Linked DNA regions of Cricetulus griseus. The protein of the gene in region 2 purifies or fractionates together with the protein of the main gene of each other region. This does not show direct contact. Links are inferred from orthologs where the notes say so. Each region holds a gene or a part of one and is shown on either strand. Other genes may lie near its edges. The genes, in order: Tonsl, Asf1a, Cabin1, Ubn1, histone H3.3A, Hat1 and Chaf1a.

Region 1 (3,500 bases), about 120 Mb from region 2:
GAAATTTGTGACTTGATGGCTGGAGACCTGTGCCAGAACCTAGAGTGGACCTCAAAGGTCGATTTCTTTTTTGTTTTTTGAGACAGGGTTTCTTTGTAGTTTTGGAGCCTATCCTGGCACTCGCTCTTGTAGACCAGGCTGGTCTCAAACTCACAGAGATCCTCCTGCCTCTGCTTCCTGAGTGCTGGGATTAAAGGCGTGCACCAGCACCGCCCGGTCTACTTCTTGGTATAGCTCTCTCTCTCCCTCTTTAGGTATTACGAAAGAAAATGAGGATGTGTCCTGCCCTTCCCAGTGCCTCAATGGTTAAACTTCTCTCTCTCTCTCTCTCTCTCTCTCTCTCTCTCTCTCTCTTTCTGTTTTTGACACAGGGTTTCTCTGTGGCTTTGGAGGCTGTCCTGGAACTAGATCTTGTAGACCAGGCTGGTCTCGAACTCACAGAGATCCACCTGCCTCTGCTTCCCGAGTGCTGGGATTAAAGGCGTGTGCTACCAATACCCGGCTATGGCTACACTATTATAGTAGACTCTTGGGCCATGTGCCATCCTGTGCCTTGGTACAGATAGTGCCTGACTACAGGGCTTGCAATGGGAGGGAGGATGCCAGAGGTCTCAGTCTGTTGGCCATTCTTGTCCTGGGTTGGCCAGCCCATTCACCCACAGCAGGGATGCCACATAGGTACTTAGCATCTTGTCTATTTCTAAAAACAAGCAATAAAGGAGATCCTGTCTGGGCTCACAGCTCCCTCATCTGTGATCTCTCTAGGGATTTTGGCCCACCTGCCTCACAAGATCCTGGACGCGGCGCAGTTGGCCTTCGATGCAGGCTCGGTGCAGCAGGGTCTCTCCCATGTCATTGCGCCTGTTCCACTGTAAGAGTAATTGCCCCGATATGGGGCAGAAGTGTGAGGGGCAGGAGTATTGCTGGGTACAGGGCTGCTGGACAACAGGGAGGTTAGGATATGTCCTCACCTTGTTTGCCTTCCGCCGGCCCAGACAGCTCTGAAGTTCCTCATCTTCCTCCAGCTTCTGAGACAGGCTGTCACCGTCATCCTCTACAAGAACAAGTCCACTGACCCTTAGCCCGTAGCATACCATCTCCTCCGACCTCAGGGGCAGAGCAGCCAGGGGCAGAGCAGCCAGGGGCAGAGCAGCCAGGGGCAGGAAGGTAGAAGTCTGGGGTTTGTGAGCTCTGGAGCCAGGTAAAGCAAAGCTAACTCCCAGCCCAGCCCAACTCCACCAACACCCCGCTTCTGTTTATATATTATTTGTTTGTTTATTGATTTATGGTTTTTCAAGACAGGGTTACTCATGTGTAGCCCTGGCTGTCCTGGAACTCAGAGATCCTCCTGCCTCTGCCTCCTGAGTGCTGAGATTAGAGGTGTGCACCACCTCTGTGGAAGCCCCACTTCTTTCTTTTTTTTTTTTAAGATTTTATTTATTTATTATGTATACAACATTCTGCTTCCATGTATATCTGCACACCAGAAGAGGGCACCAGATCTCATAACAGATGGCTGTGAGCCACCATGTGGTTGCTGGGAATTGAACTCAGGACCTCTGGGAGAACAGTCAGTGCTCTTAACCTCTGAGCCATCTCTCCAGCCCGGAAGCCCACTTCTATCTCACTACTCCACTACACACAGGGGCTGAAGAAAGGGAGTTGCCCATCATCAGAGGAACTGTTCACTCAACTCCTGTCCATGTGGGCGGGCCTAAAACCAGACTGCCCTGCAGATCAGTCTCATTTACAGACTTTCTGAGGAAGTACCCTTATCAGCGTAAGTCACCTACTCAGGCCTGCTGCCTTGTGTGGTACTGGCCTCTTGGTCTCCCCTTTACTAGTGATTCTTGCCAGATTGTCCTCACTAAGTCTTCTGCTCCCTCCTGGCATTCTCTGGCCCTTTCTATAACTCTTTTCTTCTCTGCCCCTATCTTGTGGCTGTGGCTACCAGCTGAATGACACTCCCTAAGTTAAAGTATTTGGTCTCTCTTCTTATTCAGAACACCTAAATACCAATATTCAACCTGACTTATCTTCTAAGACATGGCCCAACTTCCCAGGTACTGAGGCTCTAGCCCTGTAAGTTCACACCTAAAGTCAAGATTTTTCTAGAAATCGAATCTACAAACCACCCATCTGGAAATCAGCCCTCAGCTCCAGGGACCCCTTCCTGCCTTGTCCCACATAGCCAAGATGCTTTCATTCCTAGCACTGACCAGACCCCTCAGCACACTGGCCTTGAGTTCTGGGAGCATGCTACAGCCATGGATCACTTCCAACACTGCTGGAAAGAGTCTCATGTGAGGGGGCAGCACAGTATGGGGCCTCAATCATAGTCTACCACCCATGAAGCCATCCATGACACAGCATCTCACCTCCCCTAGACACATGCCTCTACTAGGACCATTTTCCTAGACTTAGACCCCAAACATCCCTTCCTATCTGATGCTCACTCTGCCTCTGACCAGTGATTTCCTCAGAGAGCTTCTGATTACTATGCCCCATGTTCTACATGAGCTGCCAGCGCCCTCCAGTCACCTCCACAGAAGCGCTGGTTGCCCTCCCTACCTGCAGCTGTTTTACCCACTTGAGTCCTCAGCAGGATCCATGTAGACACATCTCCAATACACACCAGTCCACCCCAGGCATCATCTTAGAGCAGAACCAGGCGGAAAAGGCATGTGCAGCCCACCCAGCATGCAAAGCAGCATTTGGCCCTCACCACTCTCTGAGAGTTCTAGTTCACTGGTCTCCAGGGCCTCACTGGCTTCTTCTTCCTCTTCTTCCTCCTCCTCCTCTTCCTCTGTGTCTTTTGCCATACTCAGTTCCTGCAGTTTTGTTTCAGTGTCGGGGGCTTCTTGGGGCTGCAACTTTAGTTGCACGGCATGAAGGTGCTGTAAGATCTGCCTCTGAGGGATGGAGATGTTCAGTTTAGGAACAAGCAGGACTACAGAGAGCAAGTAATGCAAGAAAAGATAGGCTTGAGGTGGGAGGATTTTAAGTTCAAGGCCAGCTTTGAGACCCTGTCTCAAAATGAAAATACAAAAAGGGCTGGGGATATATAGGTTATAAGTAAGGTCTGGTTCAAAAGCCAGAAAAAAGAAAAAAAAAGAGCTGGATTTATTTGTGGATGCACTGTTGGTGGGGTGGGCCCTTCTACCTGTAGCTGGAAGCGCTGGGCCTTCTGGGCGCAGCTAAAAGCCTTCTGGAAGCATGGCGCTAGCAGCTCATATGCGTCACCAGCTTCCTCTCGTGACAGTGCAATATTGAACCAAGTGTTAGCCTCCTGGAGCAGAAAAAGAAACGCAAGGTTGGTGGCTGCCTAGCTAGCATATCCAGCTGACCAGCCACAAGTTGGCTTCCCTCAGCTCGTCATATGAAATTGGAAGACGTGCTTTGTCCCTGTCCCATCTCCACGATAGCCCTTGGAAGGAACAGCTTTTCCAGGGGAAAAGCATCCTCTCACACCCACCACCTGAGAATGGTGAGCTCAAGGT
Region 2 (3,957 bases):
AACTGCAGATTAATACTTAAAAGCAATTTTCAATCTGAATTTTATTTAATAACGTTTCGTAGTTTAATTCCAAAGGGGAGAAAACACAATAGTAAATTGAGTAACACCTCAATTTAGTAAAAGGAAACAGTTTACTTTCACAAAGGTGTTAAAAGCTTCTGTTTCCCCCTCCACAATAGCAGCTCAGTAGCATAAATAAGCAACATTTCCTCAATTGGCCTTGAAATGGTTTCACAGGCATTACAGGCATAGAAGGGCTCCTCAGAATTCGTAATGCTATTTTTAATGTACGAATAGTTGGTATAAATTTCTTGAAGACCAAATGTCATGGTATACTTTGTTTTCTCCTTCTCAAACTCTATTGTAATAAATTTGTTGTCCTTCGGTCTCCTGACACTTCCCTTTTCTTGACTTCTAACTTCTTGCTCTGCTCCCCCAAAGGGCAGAAACATGACTGATCCCATCTTTTCCTCTTATCTCCCCTTTCATTCTATTTCAGGTCTGAAATGGGAAGAAATCCAAGGTGCAGCCAAAGATCGTATATTTAGATTTGTTTTCCGGTCTCTGTCTCTCTCTCTCTCTCTCTCTCTCTCTCTCTCTCTCTCTCTCTCTCTCTCTCTCTCGTTCTCTCGTGTGTGTGTGTGTGTGTGTGTGTGTGTGTGTGTATGTGTGTGTGGTGTGATTTCCCCGCCCTCATTTTCTATTGCCAAAACGTCGATAAGTGGCCAAGAACTTGTCTTCCAAAATGGCTTGCTCCTTTCGAGCTGCCACGGGTCTACGAGATGCAATGTACTTCCATTGCAACCAGCCCTTCTTCCTACTCCCTACCATCACAGGAAGCACACACAGCTGGGCCTGACGAGCGCAGAAAATCGCATCTTATCCGCTACGTTCAGCAGAGCCCGCAAAGCCGCCGCACCGAAGAACAGACGTTAAAGGCGGGGCGGACAGCGGAAAACCCAAAGGCCCACGCTTCGCACATGAGGGGCCAGCTCGCGCCCTCCCGCCACGGCCGCCGGCCCGCCCCCTCTCCGGCCCCGCCCCTCCGTCCCGCCGCGGCCACGCCCGACGTGAGGCGCGGGCCCGGCGGGCGGGGCGGGGCCTGCGCCGCCCCTCCCCCCTCCCGCCGGCGGCGGCCTCCGCGCGGGCCTCCCAGCCCCTATTCCACTCACTTTGTTCTGCGCCTTTGTCCTGGTCCACACCAGCAGGTGGAGCCGCAGTGAAAGTTTCCCGTCCGTTCCGCGAGCGGGAGCCCATCTTGCTCGCCGCCACGGCCCTCGCTGGAGGAGGAGGGTCAGAGCTCGGGGGCAGCCAATCGCGCGCAACGCTGCTAGTTATCAGAGCAGAATGGGCTGTAGTTTAGTGGAATAGGAAAGCTGCAAAACACTGTGGAGTGCTGCCGTGTAAATAAAAAGGGGGAAAAAAAAAGTTTCTCAAGTCGCCGCTGCACGACGTCGGGCCGCGCCGCGCCGGGGCGGGGGTCTGCGCTCTCCGAGCGGCCGCGCGCGGGACTCTGTGGTGCCGCCAGCCCCGGCCCCATTGTTTGTGTTTTCTTCAAAATATGGCAAAGGTTCAGGTGAACAATGTAGTGGTGCTGGATAACCCGTCGCCTTTCTACAACCCGTTCCAGTTCGAGATCACCTTCGAGTGCATCGAGGACCTGTCTGAAGGTGAGCAGCGCCGGGCTGTCAGTTGTGGCGGCGGACGTTAAAGTTTCCCGGCCCGGCCTCGCGCGGGGTGGGCCGCGGGCGGCGGGAGGGCGGCCGGGCGGCGGCCATGCGAGGGAAACTTGAAGTTGAGGGACGCCGGCCGCACCGCAACTTGCGAGCAACTTACCGGCGGAGGAGCCATGTTGTCAGCTTTGTCTGTGGCGGGCGGCGCTGGGCGGCCCCGGCTCGTGAGGCGCCGGCGGGGGTCGTGCGGCCTCGGCGGCCCCAGGGCCCCGCGGCCCGGCGGGGAGCGGAGCCATCTTACCCGGCGGCACGACGCCTGCTCCGGGCCGCCGGGGGCGAGCGGGCCCGCGCCTTCCCGCCGGGGCTGTCCTCGCGCCGCTCTCCGGCTCCCTCCACCAACCAGCGCGGAAGGCGGGCGCTGACTCGGCCCCTCGGCGCCTGGCTCCCGGGGACCGTCGTCCTCCCCGCGGTGCTCCCGGCGGGCGCCCGGGATGCTGCGCGCAGGCTCCCCAGCAGTGTGGACGCCTCTCCAGGAGGACGGAAATCTCTCTGAAACGGTGCGGGGCTAGGAAGTTCCACCCTGCCCAAGAGCCAAAGCTGGGCGCTGCAACAATTCCCGGTACTGGCTTCTAAAAAGTCTCCAAGACTTTCCCCAGAACGTACGAAGATGCAATTAAAATAACTCCACGGCCAGGCGGATAGAGAAAATACGGACGTTGGCTAGGGAATAAAAGCCAAAGTCTTTTCTGAAGTACGTTTTGCGGTTTAAAAAAAATGCAAAATAGTGAAGGAATACAGGATTTAGAAAGCTACAATGAGGGATTATCATCAGTTTTCTTAGGCTTTTAGTAAAACCAGTGCTTCATTTTCAAAATTTGAAACAAAAAGTGTAATAACTTCATCAGTGTTAATTTAAGTTAGTTAGGAGGACATCTTGGGACCTGGAAGTATTTCGTAAAAATGCCTTTAAGAGTATTATCCTCACCATGACGGAAAGAATTTTTCTTTTCATTTAAAAGTTTTAAATCCCCACAGTGTACTTTATGTAGGATGTTAAGTTTAATTATAAAACCAATATATGCCCGTTGCAATAAACTTTAAAAAGTTGGAAAAGGAAGTCACAGCTCTTTCACCCATTCTTTTAGCTAACCACACCATCACTTTAAAATGTACCCCTCTGTTGTTTTTAATACTTATATAAAGTATAAATGCACAAAAATTTAGTATGTAGGAAATATTTTGAAGAATGACTCATGATTAGAATATAGTAGTCTCCTAATAGGCTGTGGTGATGTAAGGTTGAGGGTAAGTTTTGCTTAAAACTCCATTTGTTACTGTCCGATAGTATTAGTAAAAGCATTTCCACACCAGACCCATTTCCAAACACAACATTGGTTTTTCTTCTTAACTGCCAATTTATATATAAAGATAAAGAAAAAAGCATGGGTGAGTCCATTCTATCCCAATAGCAGTGTGTTCTAGGCATTAGAAGTTCTTCATATTACAGGTATTTCTCAAGCGATGGCTTCCATTTTAGGATTCAACTTTGTGCAAGGAAGACATGATCTAGGATATTGTTATAGGGTGGCTCTACAGGATAGTTCGAAACCAGCCATCCACAGAAACCAAGTGAGGTTCCGTTTTAAACTGGGGTCCTTTCACATCAATGGTATCACTCTCATGTCAAGAATACCCTTACCTCTAGTACCCTTCAAAACCAGGGCACCATTATTTTAGGATATTTTAAGCTGAGTCATTCCAAAGCTGCAAAGGAATCTTTCAAAAAGGTGCCATTTCTGTGTACTCCATCTAGAGGCTGTGTGGAGTAAGGAAATGGAGTTGACTTATTTTGCAAAAGCTCTTTTCTAGGTTCCATACTTCTGTTGTACTGTGATTTTTTTTTTTTTTTAATTCTTAAAATCAAACTACAAAATCCTTCGAAGGGAATTTTGAGTCTATAATTTGGGTCTACCCCCAACCTACAGATTAGCCACCATTTGTTATGCTCATCAATCATCTTCAACTATTTTAATTTTCCTTTAAAAGCTGCCCTGTAGCTTTGCTTCAGAAGCCTTGAGTAGTATTTGCTCTAAGGTTGAAACAGTTATTTCTTATACTGGGCTTCTAAGAGTAGAGCACATTAAAAAGTGGGATGTAAAGGCCAGTGAGATAGATGGCACAGCCAGTAAAGCTACTAGCTACTCAGCCTGACTACCTGAGATCGACACCGGAATCCACATGGTAGAGGGACAACTGACTCCAACCAGTTGTCCTCTGACCTCCA
Region 3 (4,237 bases), on a different chromosome or scaffold from region 2:
CAGAAAGGACATCAGATCCCCTGAGACTGGAGTTACAGGCAGCTGTTTGCTGCTATGTATGTGATGGGAAATCTAATCTGGGTTTTCTGGAAGATAGCCAATGCTCTTAACCTTTGAGGAATCTCTCTGGCCCCAATAATCATTTTAATTTAAAAGGGGAGGAGGATGAAAGGCAAGGACCAACACCCAAGGTTGTCCTCTAGGCTTCACATCTTTACTATAGCAAGTACACACACACACACACACACACACACACACACACACACACACACACACACACACTTTCCATAAACATTCTTAAAACCAAGATAGTTCTGAACAAAGCCTGTAACTAAGGGAGAAGACGACTCCGTTGATAAAGTGGCTGCTGTGCAAACATGAGGCCCTCAGCTCACAGCCCCTGGCTGCATCTACAAGTCTAGAACTAGGGAACAAAGACGAAGATCCCTGGAGCTCTATGGCCAGCCAACTACTGACAAGTTCCAAGTTTAGTGAGAAAAGTAACAAAAAAACTTCTAGGTAAGCTTTGTTGACACCCATGGGAAGCCTGCCCTTTCTGAATAGAAACAGGAGGAGTGGAGGGGGGGGAGGGTCAGGAGGAGAGGAGAGAGGGGAAACTATGGTTGGGATGTAAAATAAATGAAAAAATTAATTAAAAAAGTAAATCAAACTAAAATAAATATAACAAAATATAAAAGTGAAAACATGATTAAAGCATGTTAAAAGTCATACAATTATGTCCATAAAGAGACAGCGTAGCACTTAAAAGCACTGGCAGCCCTTGCTGAGAACCCAGGTTCAGCTCATATATCGGGGCTCACAACCACCTGTAACCCAGTTCTAGGGATCCAGTGCCCTCTTCTGGCCTCTCCAGGTACTGTATGCTCATAATGCAGATACAGACAAGCAGCTACACACAGATGTCTTAAAACAAATTAACTTTTTTAGATTAAAAACACCTAACAAAATTCAATACCTATGAACAAGAAAAACACTTGAAGAAAATGGGAACTGAAGGAGAGCTTCTTGTCATGATAAGATATAAATACCTTGGTCCTAAAGCCAAAATAGTATTTAATGGAGAAACGTTACAAACAGGAATAAAGCAGGATGGCCACCATCTCTGCTACTACTCACTATTGCATTAGGATGACCAGCCAACAATGAGAACAGGAAAAGCACACTGAGGTTTAAGAATGGGTATGAAAATGCCGGGCTTCGGTGGCGCACGCCTTTAATCCCAGCACTCGGGAGGCAGAGGCAGGAGGATCTCTGTGAGTTCAAGACCAGCCTGGTCTACAAGAGCTAGTTCCAGGACAGCCTCCAAAGCCACAGAGAAACCCTGTCTGCCCCAGGGGAACATCGGAAGACAGAGGGACAGAGGCAAAGAGCTTAGGTGGGCGTAGATCTTCCTTTTAAAGGTGTCCTTTGCACCTGGGATGACCAGGGTACTGCCTGAATGCATTCTGCCAGGTGATGTGCAGACCAGCATAATGCCTGAATCCTTACATCGGGAGGCAGAGGTAGATGGATTTGAGTTCAAGGCCAGCTTGGTTGACAGAATGAGTTCTAGATCGGCCAGGGCTACACAGAGAAAACTTGCTTTGAAAAAAAAATACAAACGGCGAGGCGTTGGTGGTGCACGCCTTTAATCCCAGCACTGGAGAGGCAGAGCCAGGTGGCTCTCTGTGAGTTTGAGACCAGCCTACAAGAACTACAAGAACTAGTTCCAGGACAGCCTCCAAAGCCATAGGGAAACCCTGTCTCGAAAAACCCAAAAACAAACAAACAAACCTAAAAATATTTAAAATTAAAAAAAAAATAATTAAAGCCATCTAAAGATTAATATAAAAATCGATGCATACAACCATAAACTATGACGGTACAGTTTCCATGGCCCAATGTCGTATGATAAAGAACTTAAGCTCCTCAGCACTGTCACCCAGTGATAACACATGGCGGGGCCTAATGAGGTCTAGAAGGCTGGCAATCTTTGGGGGCGGGGGAAGCTCGAGACAGGGTCTCACTATGTGGCTCTAGCCGTCCTGGAACTCGCTATGTAGACTAGGTTTGCCTTTGCACTCACAGGCATCCAGAGTATAGCCACCCTAATCTAAAACAGGGCTAAAAGTATTGCCATTCTTACTAAATCTACATGTTACGACTACATATCAACACATTGGCTAGGGTTCGCCAGCTCCGGCAGGAGACCGTTCCAAATTCTGTTTCTAAACATCCACACTCACGTCCTACTAACAAGTCAAGTCTTGGGGAGTTCAGCAGCCTCCGGAACCCACAGGTGCGGACACCGGGAGTGCCTGCCAGGTGAGGTCCATCCGTCCACCGGCCACCGCCGGGGAGGCTGTCAGCGGAAGGGTTTGCAGCGGGGTGTAAAGCCGCTGCTGTAACTTCAAAAAAAAAAAAAAAAAACACTGTGAAAAAAACCTTCCCTCGGCCTCCGTCTCCACCCGCGTAGACCCCGCACTCACCTCGCCGGGCGGCCGTGAAGGTGAACGAAAGGACGCACACAGACGGGTGGCTTCGCGCCGCGGTCACAGTGACCCACCCGGGGCACCTCGGGGCGGCGGCGACGGCGGGAGTCGCGCGGAGGAGCCGGCATGGGCAGAAGGCCCGGGCGGGTCTCGGGTCTGGCTTCGGCCCCGCGGCTGTCGGGGATGCGGAGAGCCGCGGCCTTGTCGCGTGGTTCCGCCTCCTCGCGCTCACCGCAGCTGGGCGCGCATCCCGGGGCCACCCGCAAACCCTACTCCCCGGAACTCGCCCGGCGTCTCCACGGCAACCGCCGGAGCACCCAGACTCCCCTGCGCCGCGCGCTCAACAAGGAACGCTCTCGTTGGCTGGAGTGCCGGCTGTGTCGGCCAATCGACGCGAGCGCTCGCGCCTCCTGGCCGTCTGAGCGGATTGGCCGGCGCCCTGCGCGCTGTGTCTCTGTGATCCCCGCAGATCACAGAGTTGGGGGGGCCCGCTGCTGTTACGGTTCAAGAGTCCTGAGCTCTTGCAGGACTCAACAGATTTTTTTAATGAATATTTTTAATATTTTTTATTTATTTATTTATTTATTTATTTATTTATTTATTTATTATGTACACAGTGTTCTGTCTGCATGTATGCCTGCAGGCCAGAAGAGGACACCAGATCTCATTATAGATGGTTGTGAGCCACCGCGTGGTTGCTGGGAATTGAACTCAGGACCTCTGGAAGAGCGGCCAGTGCTCTTAACCTCTGAGCCATCTCGCCAGCCCTCAACAGATTATTTTTCATTTAATTTATGTGCACTGGCATGAAGGTGTCAGATCCCCCTGGAACTGGAGTTACAGACAGTTGTGAGCTGCCATGTGGGTGCTGGGAATTAAACCCGGGACCTCGGGAAGAGTAAGTAGTCTGTGCTCTTAACCGCTGAACCATCTCTCTAGCCCCCAGTTTTGTTCTTTTACTTAAGATAGTGTCTCACACCACAGTCTGAGCTACCCTCGAACTTGTGGCAGCCCTCTTTCTTCGGTCTCCGGGCTACTGGGGTTACTGGTTGATCCCACCACATATTCCTTGATGGACTACAACTGTAACGTATAAGGTGAAATAAACTCTTTAATCTCCATTTTGTTTTTTGTTATTTTTTTTAATCACAGCAATAGAAAAGCAAACTGAGACACCTTCCAAAAGTTAGATGAGGGTGTAACAATGGCCAGGAAGAGGAGACTTTCATGTCAGTCAAGTTGCCTGCACGTTGTTCACCGAGCTCTGGATATGCAGCTTTTTGAGTGGTCACCCACACTGGGTAGGCTTTTCAGTGTTGCATCTGCGTTTGAGTCGCTCACGTTCTGTAAGTAAACTCCCACCCACATTCATTGTAAGGAACTTTCTTTGCTCTGTCATTAGTTCAGGGCGAAGAGACATCTTTTAATATCTCCCCAGGAAAAGTCACATCAGGTCTGTAAATATTAGCATTCAACCTGCAAACATCTCTTGAGCTACTTTAGCAATCAGGGTACCTTGGCCAGAAGAACTGAGTGCAAAAACAACTGGACAGTGAAACAGGAGGAACTCCACGTCTACATTTTGGGAAAGGCTTCAGTAGTGCTCAAATTAAAGCAGCAGGGACAGGAAGACTATTTGGCAACTATGTTTACTCCACAGAACAAGATTCTCAATTTGATGTTTTATTGGCACACACTAATAATACAGATCATTTAATGTCTGTTCAGGAAAACAGCACTGAGTT
Region 4 (3,500 bases), on a different chromosome or scaffold from region 2:
ACAGTGACGCTTTCAGTTAACTTAAGAAGCCAATGATTGGTTGGAAGTGTTCACTTTCACATGAACATAAATATATAGGGAACCATTTTCAGTTGGATCTTTTTAAATGAGAAACTTGCCATTTGTCCATGTTTATGAAGGCTTTGGATGGGATTCAGGGCTCCTCTAGATTTTAAATTTGTCATGAAGATAACTTCTGGGGAGGGTGTTTTGCTTGTTTTTTTTTTTTTTTTTTTTTTTTGTGTGTGTGTGTGTGTGTGTGTGTGTGTGTGTGAGTGTTTTGTCTGCATGTCTACCATGTGCATGCTGGGTGCCCACAGAGGTCAGAAGAGGGTGTTGGATCTCTTGGAGCTGTAGTTAAGACCATTGTGAGCCATCATAATAGGCAATGGGAATCAAACCGGGGCCCTAGGGAAGAATAGCTAATTTTTAACAACTCCAACAGCTGGGCAATGGTAGTGCATGCATGCCTTTAATCCCAGCACTTGGGAGGCAGAGGCAGGTAGATAGATCTCTGAGTTCTAGGACAGCCTGGTCTACAGAGCAAGTTCCAAGACAGCCAGGGCTACACAAAGAAACCAGAAAACAGACAAATAAACCAACAAATAAAACCACAAAGGTCTTCACTGAGCTATCCCTGCCCATTTTTGTGTTACATAAATTTATATAATAAATTTAAATTAGTGTATATAAATCTGTTTATATATCTATTAGTTTGTATGTGCATTATGGATATACACATGCTATATATATACACATATATAGTAACCATACATATTTTTTGTTTTTGATTTTTTTTTTTTTTGAAACAGGGTTTCTCTGTGTATCCTTGACTGTCCTGGGACTTACTCTGTAGACCAGGCTAGCCTCAACTCATGGATATCCCCCTGCCTCTGCCTCTCCTGAGTGCTGGGAATAAAGGCGTATGCTACCACTGCAGGGCTCATACATAATATATTACTTCTCTGCTTCATAAAAGAAACATATTTGCTATTTTAGGAATTATCTCTGTGCCCTAGAAGCCCCTAGATGCTGGCTCATAGAGACTTCCCCATTATTCTTTTGAGTGCTGAGTAGTGAGGTTCTTATTGTGTGTGTGTGTTTTCTCTCCAGAAAGGAACCGGAGGGGCAATGCTGCTGTCCAACACTTCTTCCTTAAGCCTGCTGTCTTCATCCTACAAGCCCAGCAACCCCAAGCTTCAGGGGGCTATGAACTCAAACTCACTGGGAATCATAACCTCTGTCCCATTTCCACTTCACGTGCTCTCCTTCAGTTCAGACTCCTCTGCCAAAGCAGGGGTCTCTAAGGATGCCATTGTTACAGGCCCAGCCCCTGGGACCTTCCATCATGGCCTCAGCCACAGTAAGTTCTTGTTTCCTGCCTCTGTTTCTATGTTGTGTGCCATGTTGGATCCTCTATGTGTTTGGTGTAACTGTGGGAGCACCCCTGTCCTGGGAAGCTGCTTAGTGCCCAGTGTTGTTGGTTTGTTCCAGATTGGCCTACAGGTTGCCTGGGGCTCTGAATCTCCCAAGCTGCTTTTCTGTTCTGTCTTCAATGTGTGTGTTTTGTTCTCTCCCCTCCTGTTTTCTCTCAGGTCTTCTGGCTGGCTTGCACTCCAGCCCACCCCACACAGCGCCTCTCCCACATACTGCTGTGTCCACCCATGTCCCACAGAGTCTGCCAGGTAAATGCCAGGTGGGCAGTGTGCCATGAGCCCTGTGGGCCATACCCCTTCACCCTTAGGTGCTTTGCTGCCAGCGCTTTTAGTCATCTCTGCTTCACCCTCACTGTTTTGTATTTTGCTTTGTCTTTTGAGGCTCTGGCTCTTTGGCTTTGGGTTCCAGAATAATATAACCCTGTACTACCAGAGGCTTTTCCTGGTTTCCTTTTTGAATGGCCATAAGGTCTGACTTAGCCTGTATAATAACAGTATATGTTGAGCCTGAACATGAAACAGAGGAGCTCCAACTCTTAATGTGCATTTAAAGAGAAGAAAGGTAATGGTGGCTCTTGTCCAAAGGTTAACCAAGTACTTCAGGGCCTTCATGGTGAAATACTACACACCTGCCAGGCATTGTCAAGTGGCAGATACTCTTTGAAAGGAATAAATATCCACAGAACAGGAAGAGAACATAATACATGACTATGAGAGAGTTAGTATGGACCCAAAAGAGAAGCAGTTTTCAATCTACCCTGGTGTAAACCTTCCTTTAAAACAGATTTGGAAGCACACCAGGAATGAAGCAATCCACCTTGGTGTAAAACCTTCCTTTAAAACAGATTTGGAAGTACACCAGGAATGAAGCCAGTGTCTCCTGACAGAATGGTGCTTCTGGAAGTAGGCAGCTCTAAAAGCCCTAGGTACATGTATTGCCAGCTTGAGAGCATGAGAATGGGGAATATTTGCCACAGGCAGCCATCTTGTAGTAAGTGGACTGGTCTCACTCTGTCCTGATTCCTGGATTCTTGCATATAGGCACCTCTTGGGATTTTGGCTTAGGGGCCTGATGAGAAACTGATTTTGACCTAGTGTTCTTAGCACTTTAGACCTGTTCTAAACAGAACCCAGGCCTATACTAGGGAGAGGAGGGCTGAGCTTAGGGATTATGGGGATTTGTATAGGGCAGGAGTCAGATGCAGACTCGAGGGCTATGTGTGCCTTTGACTGCTCATGGACAGTCTGGGCTCACAGCTCCTTGTGTGCTTTGTGATCTGCTTGTGTGTTCCTTGAAGCCATGTCTTAAAAGCTGAGAACTCTGTAGTGAATATCAAAGACCTTGTTAGGATGAGGGTGAGTTTGTAGGTTTCTTTGAGGAGCAAAGCCAGTGTCAGTTGTCACTCCTTTCCTCTGAAGAAGCAGTCACATCTGAGGACTTTCTCTGCACTGGTGGCTGCCACTTAAATTAAGTGCAATGTGGGTGACTCCTCAGCTACTGAGAGCCTGTGTGGTGTGAAAGTGAGATGGTGCCACCTTCCACTTGCTTTGGAAATGGCTCTCTTTGAGAGAAACAAAGTAATTGAAGAGTAGAAACAGACTCTGGGTCTGTGGAGTTTTCAGTCAACAGAGGCAGGAGGGAGACTGGATAGAGGGGGGGCAGGGGAATCAAACACTTTTTGTACTATTTTCCTGTTTTTCCCCGTGGTCTTCCAAAGCTATCTGAAGGGTTGGGGGTGTAGTTCAGTGGTCAAGCATTTTCCTATCATATATAAAGCCCCAGGTCTATTACCAGTACCACAGAGAGGAAAAGGAAAAACATCGTAGGCAATCAGAAGAGCAGCCATGCAAAATGGGTTAGCAGGGAGCTGAGACTTGTTTCTGCTCTTCCTTCTTTTCTCCCACATGGACTTGATGCTGTTGCTTTTGCCTTTGTCCCTCTGGTATCTGAGTGCATTTTGATGTTAAGAGAATGAACATTGTCTGGATTCTGTGTGGTCATCAGGCCTTGCAGTGGCCCTTGTCATGTTGCAGAATTTCTGTTCTGTAGACATTGCTCCTCAG
Region 5 (3,946 bases), on a different chromosome or scaffold from region 2:
TCACAACCCTATGGGATCTCTCTTGTACCGAAAGCCCTCACCCAGGGCTGTGAAGCCTGGTCCCTACCGTCTGGGGGTCAGCTAATGACAACCTGAGCTGCGCCGTGCTGCTCAAGCTACCGAGCGGTGCTGGAAAGCGGGAAACACGGCAAGCCCTGCGGCAGCTCTTCCTTAGTACCTGCCGTTTTCAGCCTCTTACAGCGACAGCCTTAAGCTGCTATGTCACAGTCTCCTTCCACAGCGATCTTCCGAGGAGGGTGAGGCCGCTCGCTGAGCGGCCCACTCGGGCTGGACCGGCAGCCGGGCCGTGCGCAGCGACAGCTGTGCTGCACATTGTTCCCGAGGCTCACAACACACAGCCATCTTGCATCAAGAACGGCGGCCCAGGCAGGAGCGGGTGAGCGCGGTGTCGCCGCCGCCGCCGTCGGGGAAGCAGCGCTGGCAGTGGCCGCCCCGCCTCTCCCGGGTAGAGTCCGCGACGGGCTTGTCCTCAGGCGATTTGGCCCGGCCCTCGGACGCGCCCGCGCCCCGCGCCCGCGCTAGGCGGGAAGCGAACCGCGGGGCCCCGCCCCTGCCGCGCGCAACGGGCGCGGCCCGAGAGTGGGCGCGGGCCTCGGGCTTCCACTCGCCGGCTTCCGGCTCGGGCGCCTCGTCCACCGGGCGCGGCGACCGCGGGGCCGCGGCCTTCTCCCCGCCCCACGCGGGCGGGCGCCTCGGGGACGCGCGCGGGGGCGGCGCCCCTCCCCCCGCAGGCCGGGCGCTGGCCCGCGGCCCGCCCTCCCATCCCCCACGGGCCCCCTCGGTACCCCCCCTTATCCCTCACCCCCCCACCCCCGGGAGCCGGGGCTCCGGGGGCTCCCCGTGGCGCTGGCCCCGGGCGGGGAGGGAAGCGAGCGCGGGCCGGGCCGGGGGCGGGCGGCGTCTCGGCGGGCCCCGCGGCCCCTCGGCGTGTCTTTTGTGTTTGTACACACCGCGAGAGGCGGCGGGAGCCGGGGGCGGGCGGCGCGCGGGGTGGGGGGGCGGGGGTGGAGGAGGAGCGAGCGCGCGCGCCAGCGAACGGGCGCGCGGGGGGAGGGGCGGGGGGCGGGCGCGCGGGCCCCGGGGCGGGGCCGAGCCTTCCCTCCATTGTGTGTGATTGGCTGGCGCGGCGCGGGGCGGGGCGGCGTGTGTGGGGGTAGCCTCGGTGTCAGCCATCTTTCAATTGTGTTCGCAGCCGTCGCCGCCGCCGCCGCCGCTCTCTAACGCCAGCGCCGCCTCTCGCTTGCCGAGCTCCAGCCGAAGGAGAAGGGGGGTAAGTTTCTCCGTCCGCCCGCTCTCCCGGAGCCGGGCCCCGTCCGCCGGCGCTGCCGTAGCGGGCCGCGGAGGGCCCCCGCAGCCCCTCGGGCTCGACCCTCAAACTTTTTGGCGCAGACACGGAGACGGGGAGCGAGTTTCCCTCTCCTCGGGCGGCGGCGGCGGCGGCGGCGGCGGCAGCTCTCCGTCTCCGCCTCAGCCCGGCGGCGGCCCCGCCGCGCCGCCTGCCGAGCCTGCTGGCCCTCCCGCGCCGCGGGCTCTCCTTTCTTCGGTGAAATCCCGCCCGCCGCCCCTTCCCGGGACCCCAGACCTTCACCAGGTCCCGCGCGAGCCCCTCAACTGCCGCCTGCGGGTCCCGGGCCGCAGTTTGTCGGGCGCGAAATGGGTAAAATCGCCGTCGCTTCCCGCCCCGGGCGAACTCGCTTTTTGCTGCCTCCCCACAGTTGTGGCTGAGCTTCACCATCTTGTCTCTCTTCTCTGGTCACCGACCATGTTTCTTTTCCCCCCCGTTTCTCTCTTCCCCATTTTAAAATGGAAGGAGGAAAAAAATCTTAAGCACCTTTTTTTTTATTTTTTTGCCTTTTTTGGAGGAAAAAAAAGGAAACTTGATGCATATGAAATTCGAAATAACGAAAAAAAGAACTTTTGCATTTGGGGGAGAGCGGCACGTGGCAGGGGATGGGGTATTTTTCGAAGGGTTTGCTGTTTGTGTCTTTGGAAGGGAGTCGGATACATTTTGCAATTGTTTCCATTTTGTGCTAGCCTTGGGGAGCCGAGTCGTTCGCTGCCGGCACGGGGCGCCCGGGCCGGGCCGGGCAGGGCAGGTCGGGGACCCGGGACCCGGGGACCCGGGGGAGGCAGAAGCAAAAGTTTATGTGGTGCTGGGGTGGGCCGGGCGGCCGGTGTCGAGCGCTAATTAAGACTGGGTGCGGGGCAGTCGGCTGGCATAGCGAAGCCCGGGAGGACGGGCTTTGTGGAATGCTCGCTGGCAATAGCTGTTGTTCTTGTCTTTCGAGACGCCTTTTTGTCAACATAACCGTAAAGATAGAAACCTCAAGAATGTTTACAGATATTTACAGCAATCCAACTGCCGAGCGCGAGGCGGGGGGCGCGAACGGGGGGGGGACGCTGGAACCTTTTTTCTTTTTTTCTTTCTTTTTTTTTTTTTTGGCTGTAATTTGACTCGACCTTTCTGTGGTTTGTGGCTTCTTTCGTTTGACTTGTTTGTGATCGAATGCTTGCAGGCATTTCTAATTTCTACTTTAATTAAAGAAATTGAATTAAAACCCATTGGGGTGGTCTCGCTGGTTTTGGCCGTTTGTCGCTTGGAATTGGCGTTATGAGTATTAATGCTGACAATTTTCCGGTTTGTTTTAAGTCGTATTTGGGTAGTAGACCTAACCTGCGCCCTTTCAAATTAATTATATAACAGCCTTTTTTTTTTCTCAGTAATGATAGGTTTCTGGGATTTTTTTTTTTTTTAGGGGGTGGCTTCTGGCAAGAAAATGTATGTTTTAGTTGAATATGATTTTTTTTTTTTTAATACTGGTAGGTAAGTAAGGAGGTGCTCTTACCATGGCTCGTACAAAGCAGACTGCCCGCAAATCCACCGGTGGTAAAGCACCCAGGAAACAACTGGCTACAAAAGCCGCTCGCAAGAGTGCGCCCTCTACTGGAGGGGTGAAAAAACCTCATCGTTACAGGTATTTATAAAAGGGGGAGGAATAGGACAGTGTCTAAACAGTATGTCCATGTAATTTAACAGGAAGGTGAGGGAAAGATGTTTTCCTTCTGAATGTTTACTGCTGCTTGAAAATACACGTGCATATGTTCATTTATGAATACATGTAACTTAGTGTCAGGCTTTATTGATAACATTTTGAAGTTGTAATCTGATCTAAATTCTAAAGGGACGCGGTTCTCAACTGGTAGTAGGACACATTAACATTTTAACCATTAGCATTTTAAGTATGAAATGGTTTCATATGTGTATACAGGCACATAAAAATGGTTGTGTTTTTACACATACTTTTTGTTTTGGTTGACCCACACTTGTGGTAAAGTGTAGTACCTTAGGGAGACTAGTAAAGAAAGTCTCTTGGTCATAATTACTTGGGTTTTTCCCTCCTTTACTCCCTCATTTTATTTTTATGTAAGCACTGTTGTTAAGGACATCTGCCATTAGAGGGCATAAGTTGCCCAAATTTGCATAGACAGATTGTACAGTGAACAGCTCATAGAGTTGAAATAAGTCAAATTTAGGGGTTAAAGGATTTGTTTTCTCTCTTATCTTTCCCACTCTCTTCCCCCAATAAAGCTTCCCAAGTTAAAAAAAAAAAGTATTATAGACAATGACTTAATTTTAGAAAATTTTTCATGTGGGAGAAACAATGTGAAATCAAGTTTTCAAATTCAGTCATTCATGACTGGTGATACAATACTGGGAGATCAAATACGAGTGTTTTAAGTGAATCGTTGTAAATTATGTTGGTAACTCTTTTAGGACTTTAAAACCTAAGGCACAGATGGGGCAACAGAAAGTGTTGCTTAAACTGGGAAGATGTCTTTATTGCCAGCCTAACTTCGAATATGCTCCCAAGTCTTGTTTGTTTGTTTGTTTTTAAGGCGGGGCTCACTCTAACCTATCCTTGCC
Region 6 (4,144 bases), on a different chromosome or scaffold from region 2:
AACATATAATGGCAAGGATATATATGACCATTCCAAAAGGTCAGGAAGGGAGCACAGTGAGGAAATACTGGACCAAAGCAAGACAGAGAAGTAACTGGGCAAACCCCAACCTCTGCATCTCCATGTCTGATGTCAAAACACTCTTCAGATAACTTCAGCTTGTGTCAAGTTGACATAAATCTCCCCAGCACAGTCCTCTTTTATAATTTTTTAAAAATAAATTCTGTTGGTACGATTCCTCTAGAAAAGTTGACTAACACAAGGAGCACATAACTTAAGAGGAGAGAGGGTCACGATTTACAACCTAAGGACAGATCAGGAAGAGAGGCCTCCCTTCTGTGAAAACCAAAAAAGAAAGGGAGTGGGCAAGGAAGAAAGGGAAAAAAAGAGAATCAGCCCCAGGAAAGGAAATTGCCAAGTTCCTCTTCAGTTGTCTACAGTCTCTGGAAGAACCCAATTCTCCAGATACTCAGGTCTCCAGAGGCTGAGGGTCCTGGGTCAGTGGACTGGTAACTACCAGGTTCCTGGCCTTTACAGTGATATAACCTCTTCAATTGTACAATATAAGCCAAGATAATAAATCTTTTTGTTGTTGTTTTGTTTCTTTGAGACAGGGTTTCTTTGTGTAGCCCTGGCTGTTCTGGAACTTGCTTTGTAGATCCGGCACGCCTGGAACTCACAGAAACAGGCCTGCCTCTGGCTCCCAAGTGCTAGGTTTAAAGGAGTATGCCACTACCTCCCACTCTGAGTTCTTTAATATGACACTGTTTATCATATTGAAATCATGAAGTTTATTATGGACCAGTGGCAAAGTGTTTTGCCCAGCGTAAGCATGACTCTGGGCTGGACACCCAGTTCCAAAATACGAATACAATACAGAGAAAACGATTTAAAATGGGTTATGGCAAAAATAGAGACAAGTAAAAAATTTAAAACTTCGAATGAGCCGGGCCGTGGTGGCGCACGCCTTTAATCCCAGCACTCGGGAGGCAGAGGCAGGCGGATTCCTGTGAGTTCGAGACCAGCCTCGTCTACAGAGCGAGTTCCAGGACAGCCTCCAAAGCCACAGAGAAACCCTGTCTCAAAAAACCCAAACCAAACCAAAACTTCGGAGTGAAACGTGTCAAAGGGAGGGATTTTCAGCCTCTGCGAGGGAGAGGGAAAAACCGCCGTAGGCTGTCTGAGAGTTAGCGTTAATTCCCATGAAAATCTCTAGCAGCCAACAAGCTGCGCGGGGCTGCGCGCGGAAGACCAGCAGCAGGGATGTACGCCCTCGCGGTGGCTAGGCAACCGCTCGCGCCTTCTCACGGTACTAGCCCCGCCTCCTGAGCACTTCCGTCCCCGCGCTCCCAGAACTACCTCCTCTCATTGGCTCGTGCCTCCCCGAGGTTGGGCGGGGGAAATGCGTCATCATTGCGCTCATTTCCGGTCCGGGAGCGCGCGGGTTGATTTGTCCTTCCTCAGCCGCGGGCCCTCACAGCTCGGAAATGGCGGGTAAGTTCCCGGGAAAAGTTTAGCAAGGGGAGGAGGCGGGTGGTTCTGGGGAAGAACGTCGAGGCGGCTGTGACAGTGGCCGACTGGAACTTTCGAGCTCTAGCCGAAGTTCCAGAAGGCCTCTCCCTGCCGCGAGGCACCGAGCGTCGGAGGCTGCCTCCCGGTGGGCCGCGCTCGGTGCCGCCGCCCCCAGTGCTTGCGCTCCGCGCCTTCCGTGGGCCACCGGGCCCTGCCGAGGAGGGTAGGCGCGCCCGGGGCAGAGCGTGCGATTTCGTCTGGTGAAGCGTGGTCAGCATCGGGGCCTGTTTTTCTCTTTCATTTTGCCCGCTGCTGCCCTAATGTAGTCATCGGGTTCATTTCCCGCCAGCTGATGCTCCCAGGGCCCTGCCCACCTTCCCCACGGCCAGCTTCTGTGCGAGCGCAGTGCTGCGCTGACCTGTTCCCGGGCACACTCTGGGTCTGTTAACCCTGCAGGATTATTGAGATAATTTTTAGATGTCTTTTGAGAAAGACGTTTCTGCACTGCCGAACTTCTATTTTAGAGTGGGACTTGTGTACTGTATGTAGTAGTTGGTATTCTCTTATTCTGGTTTCATTTGAGTCTTCTAGTCTTCGGTGTTTAAGAATGTTTAAATTGCCGGGCCCTGGTGGTGCACTCCTTTGATCCCAATACTCAGGAGGCAGAGGCAGGAAGAACTCTGTGAGTTTGAGGCCAGCCTGGTCTACAGAATGATTTCCAGAACAGCCAGGGCTACTCGGTGCAACCCTGTCTCGAACAAAAGTAAATTGCTATTGAACTGTTTTGATGTATTTTCTTTTGAAGTGGTGGGTATTTTCTTTTGTAATTATCCCCTAGTCCTTCACATTGAGTCACCATCACTACGGGTTAAACTCGCTCCACTTTTACAGGTGGGCTGGATTACCAAACTGTGTAGTTTGAAATTTGCTTGTGTTTAAGAAACGAAGTTGTCTAGTAGGATATTGGATTACCCTGTTACCATAAAAGAGTTACTGTATAATGAAAATTACATCAAAAATTCGAACTTGAGCCCTACAATTAACCCTCTTCCTTAGCCTGAGTTATTGAATGAGGGCTGAAGCAGTACATACTTAAAGGTGATTTCTATAACCGGTTTCTTGAAATGAGTTTTGTTACCATCATGCAGGGTACACTGGCTCCAGCTCAGTGCTGTCATAGCCTCCTGCATGAATTACAGGCCTGGCTCAAGAGTGGTTTTATCTTCTGTTTTATGAGGCATTCTTTTTCCTCTTTCTTTTCTTTTTTTTAAAGATTTTATTTATTTGTATACAACATTCTGCTTCCATGTATATCTGCACACCAGAAGAGGGCACCATATCTTATAACGGATGGTTGTGAGCCACCATGTGGTTGCTGGGAATTGAACTCAGGACCTCTGGAAGGGCAGTCGGTGCTCTTAACCGCTGAGCCATCTCTCCAGCCCCCTTATGAGGCATACTTATGCAGTGTATTTATTGAAGGGTTCATGGAGAGAGACCTGTACTGTTGTAGCATGTATGTTTTCCATCTTATCCTTAGCCTACTTCAAATAAAAATCCTGCTTGTAGGTATTTAAATCACTTCTAACCAACCTTTCAAAACTTCTTCTAGGATTTGGTGCAATGGAGAAATTTCTGGTGGAATATAAGAGTGCAGTGGAGAAGAAATTGGCCGAGTACAAATGTAACACCAATACAGCGATCGAACTGAAATTAGGTACGTATGTAATTTCAGAATGATTTATATAACATGGCCTTTTAAAATTTGAAATAAAATTTTATTTTAAGAATAATTATATAACTGGTATTTCCTGCATTTGTGAACATTGAGTTTATGCTGTGGAATGGGTAGGTGGAAGACAGCAGTTTAACACATGGGAAAGATACTGTGGCAAAAAGTCACAGGTATGTGTAATCTCAGCTTCTTAAAGAAATTTACTTTCTTGCTTTTGAATATGATAGGCAGTAACTGGTGTTGGTGAGGATGTGGGGAAAAATCATGTATTAGTGGTGAGTATCTAAAATAAAATAACTTAAGCTTGCTAGATCTTTAAAAGACAAAAAAGCATAAATTACATATATGAGCCAGCAGTTCTATTAGATGTCTGTTCAAGAGAAATGAAGAGAAATGAAGATATTGTTCATCTAAAAACACATGTGTATTCACAATGATCAAATGGTGTAAACAACTCACGATAAAACACCAGTTGGTAAACAGATAAAGTATGCTATAGCTATTCAGTGGAATACTATCTGATAGTAAAAAGGAATGAACTCCTGATACCTTTCACATTGTGGAGAAACCTTAGAATATGATTAGTAAAAGAAGCCAGGAAAAGTCAACCATAGTGTATAATTCCATTTGTATGAAATGTTCAGAAAAGATATCCATAAATCCATAAAGACCAACAATAGAAAATCATTACCCCAGACTAAATGTAGGAACAGAGTACTCATGGAATTTTTTTGTGCAAAGTAGAAATGTTTCAAAATTAGTTTGTGCCTAAACTAAGTTTACTAAAATCACATGCTTAAGTAGAAAAAATAAATACACATTAGTGAATCCTGGTTACATTGATTTCCATACCTCAGTTTCCTTATCTCTAAAATGTAGTTAATAGTACTCATCTTT
Region 7 (3,384 bases), on a different chromosome or scaffold from region 2:
CTGTCTCATCCCACAGTCCTGGCCCAGCTGCTACCGCTGTTGCATGGCAACGTGAATGGAAGCAAGGTGATCATCCGAGAATTCCAAGAGCGATGCCGCCGTGGCCTGCTGAGCCCCACAAACGCCACTTCACACCCACAGACACCTAACTCAGAAGATACTGTGGTCGTGCCATCCAAGGCCAGGCTGAAGCGCCTCATCTCTGAGAACTCGGCCTATGAGAAGCGGCCTGACTTCCGTATGTGCTGGTATGTGCACCCACAAGTGCTCAGGCGCTTCGGCCAGGAGTGTCTGCCTGTGCCCTGCCAGTGGACCTACGTCACCGCTGTGCCCTCAACACCCAGGGAAGACAATGGCAATGCTTCCACCGAGGTGCCTGGCCAGGGCACACCCATGCCAATCAAGCGGAAGCCAGCAGCCACCATGTGCATTACACAGTTCATGAAGAAAAGGCGGTACGATGGACAGGTGAGCTACAGAGGGCATGGGCCTTGTTCACCTGTGTCTAGAGGAGAGCTTTGTGGCGCTGGTTCCCTCCCACCTTCATGTGGGTTTTGGGGGTGGAACTTGGGTTGCCAGGCTTGTGCAGCAATCACCTTTACCCACTGGGCCATCTTGCTGCCCTTCTACAATAGCTGCAGAGTTGCAGTAGCACTGAGCGGATGATTGCATTTGCACAGCAGTTGCCTCTACTGCTACATCTTACTCCTCATGGTGAAGTCACCCAGAGGCCGCCACAGTTGGCTGAGTTGTTGATTTTTAGTGACCCAGCCGTTATGATTCCATCACAGGTCACAGCCTGTGTCCCACTTGCCCTCCCACACTAGCAGCCATGTGTCTGTCCATGTCCCCAAATGTCATAATCAGGGTCACACAACAAGTAATCCCTTGGCCTGCTATGTTTAGTTCATTCTTGCTTGATAACTCCTTCTAACTCTGAATGGTACTTTGTGCACATGGATAGGTGAAGCACCATCTCCTGAGCTACATGGGCAAGCGTGTGATAGAGCATCAGAGCCCTGCCCACTGAAGCAGTGTCAGCGTTTTTTGTTGTTTGTTTGTTTTTCTTTGAGGTGTCCTTTCTGTCACTAGAAATCTAGCTCACTCACTACATGTTGACATCTCAGGTCCTCTTCTGCGATGTTAGAGGGCACGGGCTCTAAGTGTTGCCTGACACTGGCTACCACTGTGTATGGACACTCTTCTTGTCCTTCTCTTAATGATCTTTGCCGTACCCCACATGAACAGGGAGCAAGGCTCAAAGGCACACTTTGCTGTCAGCCTTAGCCCTGAGGAACCCCACAGAGCACAATGGTGGGCTTTTGTATTTTGTGACTGAAAGTGTTGCCTCCAGAAGGCACAGACCCAGCATGGTGCTCACACAGTGCCCTAGACTGCCTGGGTCTGTTCTTTAGCAGCCCAGTGTTCCATCAGACTCGCTAGATCTGCTTGTAAGGAGTGGAAGGAAGTCCAGCCTTCCCAGGTGTCTGGCCACCTTGGGGAGGGGCAGCTATGCTCTTGAATGTTCTGTGTTCAGTCATTTAGAATGCAGAGTAGTTCAGCTTTTAGCTGGAGCTGTGATCACATCAGACTACTGTGCATCACTGGGCCCAGAGTGCCCCAGTCTTTGAGACTTGGTTTTCCCTGTTTTAAGGATTTATCATGTTTTTGTGGGTAGGTCTGCATGTGAGCACAGTATCCATAGAATCTCCCAGAGGACATCAGATGATCTATCTGCAGCTGGGGTTAAAAGCATTTGCGAACAGCCATATGGGTGCTGGGAACCAATTCACGTCCCTTGCTAGAGGAGCCAGGGCTCTTAGCCACTGAGCAACCCAGGCTACCTTCAACTCTTTATCCTCCTGCCTCAGTCTACACAATACCATGCATGGATGTAGGCAGACATCTGTACAAGAGGCATTCAGACTTGTAGAGAAGCAGCTGCCTTCCCCCTGTCAAAGGCCAGTGGGCTGTTTCCTCACCATGTGGGGTCAACCTGGCTACATCTGTCTTTTCCCCAGAAGCCCATGAACTGGCCAGGGATCCTCACAGCTGCAGGAAGCTCCAAGTCTTAGCCACCAGGAGAAAGAAATGCCAAGAGAGTAGGTGTTCCATTGGTTCTTTGAAACCAAAGTTGAGAAGCCAAGCCACTCAGGTTGCTCTGGGATGCTGCTGTTGGCAGCTTTTAGACGGGTGTGTGGCTCACCTTAGCAGAGTGCTTGTAGCCATAGGCCCCAAGCCATTTTGTTGGGGAGTGGATGGTCAAGATGCTGACAGGCTGTATTTTGTGCAGGTTGGCTCTGGGGACATGGATGGCTTCCAGGTAGACACAGAAGAGGACGAGGATGACGATACAGACTGTGTGATCGTGGATGTGTCAGAGGCTCCCATGCCTGCACCCACACCTTGCAAATGACAGATGTCAAGTTGAAACTCCTGGGGAAAAGTGACCTGGGCTGCAGGGAGTGGAGTGCAGGCGCCTGGAGTGCAAGGCTGGTATATGGCATGGCCTGGGCAGTGGTGGCCATGCCTCCCCTCAGCCTTGTAGAGCTGCTGAGGGAGGTGGGGATGGGCACTAGCAACAGCCTGCTATGTGGCACTTGAGCAGCCACCACCAGACTCGCCTCCTGCTGACTCCCATGTAAAGAGCACTTTGTCCGACACCCCAGGGTGTGGAGTCTAGAGGAGGCCTGAGCAGTTACTTCCAGACTGTAAAGCCCCCAGGGCTATGTGCTGATCTACCCTTCTTAGTTAAGCATTATCGACAGCTGATTGACAGGTGCCTGCTGTGGTCAAACACCTGCTAATGAATTGTACCAGGGACACTGAGGCTGCTATGCAGGCCCTGGGCAAACATGAACGTGTATAAACATACTCTACCTGAGCCTGTCTTGTCATGACTATCATGTTACACTGGTGTGTCCTTCCACTTGTACCCTGCAAAGGTCATGGGCCCAGCCAGAGCATGGTTAGGATGTCCCCAGCAAGATGAATGTGTCCCTTGAAAGGGGGCCCCTAGTGTCATCTTCCCCAAGGGAAGTGCCATGCCTGGCCTGTTCTGCCCCAATCCCCAGCATGTGCACTTTGCTGATGCCCTTGTTCTACCAGCGCCTCAAGAGTCTGCTTAGCCTGGACCTGGTTTGCTGTAGGATTTCCACTGTCATGGTTGCTGCCTTGTGTGGCTTTGATGAAGACACCAGGAGGCTGGGTTTAAATAGCCTGTTTATTTGGGTTCATAACTTAGGAATTACAGTTCCATGCTGCAAGGCACCTGCTTTCTGCTGTCTCCAGCACAGGTATGGGGCAGGCTGCTTCCATCCATAGTCTGTGAGGCCTGTGCCCATGCTGCAGACCCGCTCTGCCACCTGTGCTGGGCTCCCAGAG

Evidence for each region.
Region 1: the proteins of Asf1a (region 2) and Tonsl purify together in Homo sapiens (affinity purification with mass spectrometry; 4 studies listed by BioGRID and IntAct, counting the BioPlex papers as one, with this or other methods). This does not show direct contact. The link is inferred for Cricetulus griseus from reciprocal best matches to the Homo sapiens genes ASF1A and TONSL.
Region 3: the proteins of Asf1a (region 2) and Cabin1 purify together in Homo sapiens (affinity purification with mass spectrometry; 4 studies listed by BioGRID and IntAct, counting the BioPlex papers as one, with this or other methods). This does not show direct contact. The link is inferred for Cricetulus griseus from reciprocal best matches to the Homo sapiens genes ASF1A and CABIN1.
Region 4: the proteins of Asf1a (region 2) and Ubn1 purify together in Homo sapiens (affinity purification with mass spectrometry; 6 studies listed by BioGRID and IntAct, counting the BioPlex papers as one, with this or other methods). This does not show direct contact. The link is inferred for Cricetulus griseus from reciprocal best matches to the Homo sapiens genes ASF1A and UBN1.
Region 5: the proteins of Asf1a (region 2) and histone H3.3A purify together in Homo sapiens (affinity purification with western blotting; 8 studies listed by BioGRID, with this or other methods). This does not show direct contact. The link is inferred for Cricetulus griseus from reciprocal best matches to the Homo sapiens genes ASF1A and H3-3A.
Region 6: the proteins of Asf1a (region 2) and Hat1 purify together in Homo sapiens (affinity purification with mass spectrometry; 4 studies listed by BioGRID and IntAct, counting the BioPlex papers as one, with this or other methods). This does not show direct contact. The link is inferred for Cricetulus griseus from reciprocal best matches to the Homo sapiens genes ASF1A and HAT1.
Region 7: the proteins of Asf1a (region 2) and Chaf1a purify together in Homo sapiens (affinity purification with western blotting; 3 studies listed by BioGRID and IntAct, with this or other methods). This does not show direct contact. The link is inferred for Cricetulus griseus from reciprocal best matches to the Homo sapiens genes ASF1A and CHAF1A.

Annotation. Positions count from the first base shown.
Region 1 is NC_048595.1:373,912,895-373,916,394, forward strand, and holds part of Tonsl (tonsoku-like protein), read right to left. Parts: intron 3,290-3,500; coding exon 3,164-3,289; intron 2,913-3,163; coding exon 2,726-2,912; intron 1,055-2,725; coding exon 972-1,054; intron 870-971; coding exon 780-869; intron 1-779. UniProt on the Homo sapiens protein: Component of the MMS22L-TONSL complex, a complex that promotes homologous recombination-mediated repair of double-strand breaks (DSBs) at stalled or collapsed replication forks.
Region 2 is NC_048595.1:255,440,030-255,443,986, reverse strand, and holds the start of Asf1a (histone chaperone ASF1A), read left to right. Parts: upstream 1-1,157; 5' UTR 1,158-1,561; coding exon 1,562-1,670; intron 1,671-3,957. UniProt on the Homo sapiens protein: Histone chaperone that facilitates histone deposition and histone exchange and removal during nucleosome assembly and disassembly.
Region 3 is NW_023276806.1:262,833,259-262,837,495, reverse strand, and holds the start of Cabin1 (calcineurin-binding protein cabin-1), read right to left. Parts: upstream 2,801-4,237; 5' UTR 2,490-2,800; intron 2,409-2,489; 5' UTR 2,258-2,408; exon of another isoform or gene 2,247-2,257; intron 1-2,246. UniProt on the Homo sapiens protein: May be required for replication-independent chromatin assembly. May serve as a negative regulator of T-cell receptor (TCR) signaling via inhibition of calcineurin. Inhibition of activated calcineurin is dependent on both PKC and calcium signals.
Region 4 is NC_048600.1:41,616,859-41,620,358, reverse strand, and holds part of Ubn1 (ubinuclein-1), read left to right. Parts: intron 1-1,113; coding exon 1,114-1,363; intron 1,364-1,595; coding exon 1,596-1,685; intron 1,686-3,500. UniProt on the Homo sapiens protein: Acts as a novel regulator of senescence. Involved in the formation of senescence-associated heterochromatin foci (SAHF), which represses expression of proliferation-promoting genes. Binds to proliferation-promoting genes.
Region 5 is NC_048598.1:13,474,756-13,478,701, forward strand, and holds the start of histone H3.3A, read left to right. Parts: upstream 1-1,146; 5' UTR 1,147-1,291; intron 1,292-2,845; 5' UTR 2,846-2,868; coding exon 2,869-2,996; intron 2,997-3,946. UniProt on the Homo sapiens protein: Variant histone H3 which replaces conventional H3 in a wide range of nucleosomes in active genes. Constitutes the predominant form of histone H3 in non-dividing cells and is incorporated into chromatin independently of DNA synthesis.
Region 6 is NC_048599.1:103,798,461-103,802,604, reverse strand, and holds the start of Hat1 (histone acetyltransferase type B catalytic subunit), read left to right. Parts: upstream 1-1,344; 5' UTR 1,345-1,487; coding exon 1,488-1,494; intron 1,495-3,124; coding exon 3,125-3,229; intron 3,230-4,144. UniProt on the Homo sapiens protein: Histone acetyltransferase that plays a role in different biological processes including cell cycle progression, glucose metabolism, histone production or DNA damage repair. Coordinates histone production and acetylation via H4 promoter binding.
Region 7 is NC_048598.1:97,479,983-97,483,366, reverse strand, and holds the end of Chaf1a (chromatin assembly factor 1 subunit A), read left to right. Parts: intron 1-16; coding exon 17-468; intron 469-2,293; coding exon 2,294-2,416; 3' UTR 2,417-2,884; downstream 2,885-3,384. UniProt on the Homo sapiens protein: Acts as a component of the histone chaperone complex chromatin assembly factor 1 (CAF-1), which assembles histone octamers onto DNA during replication and repair.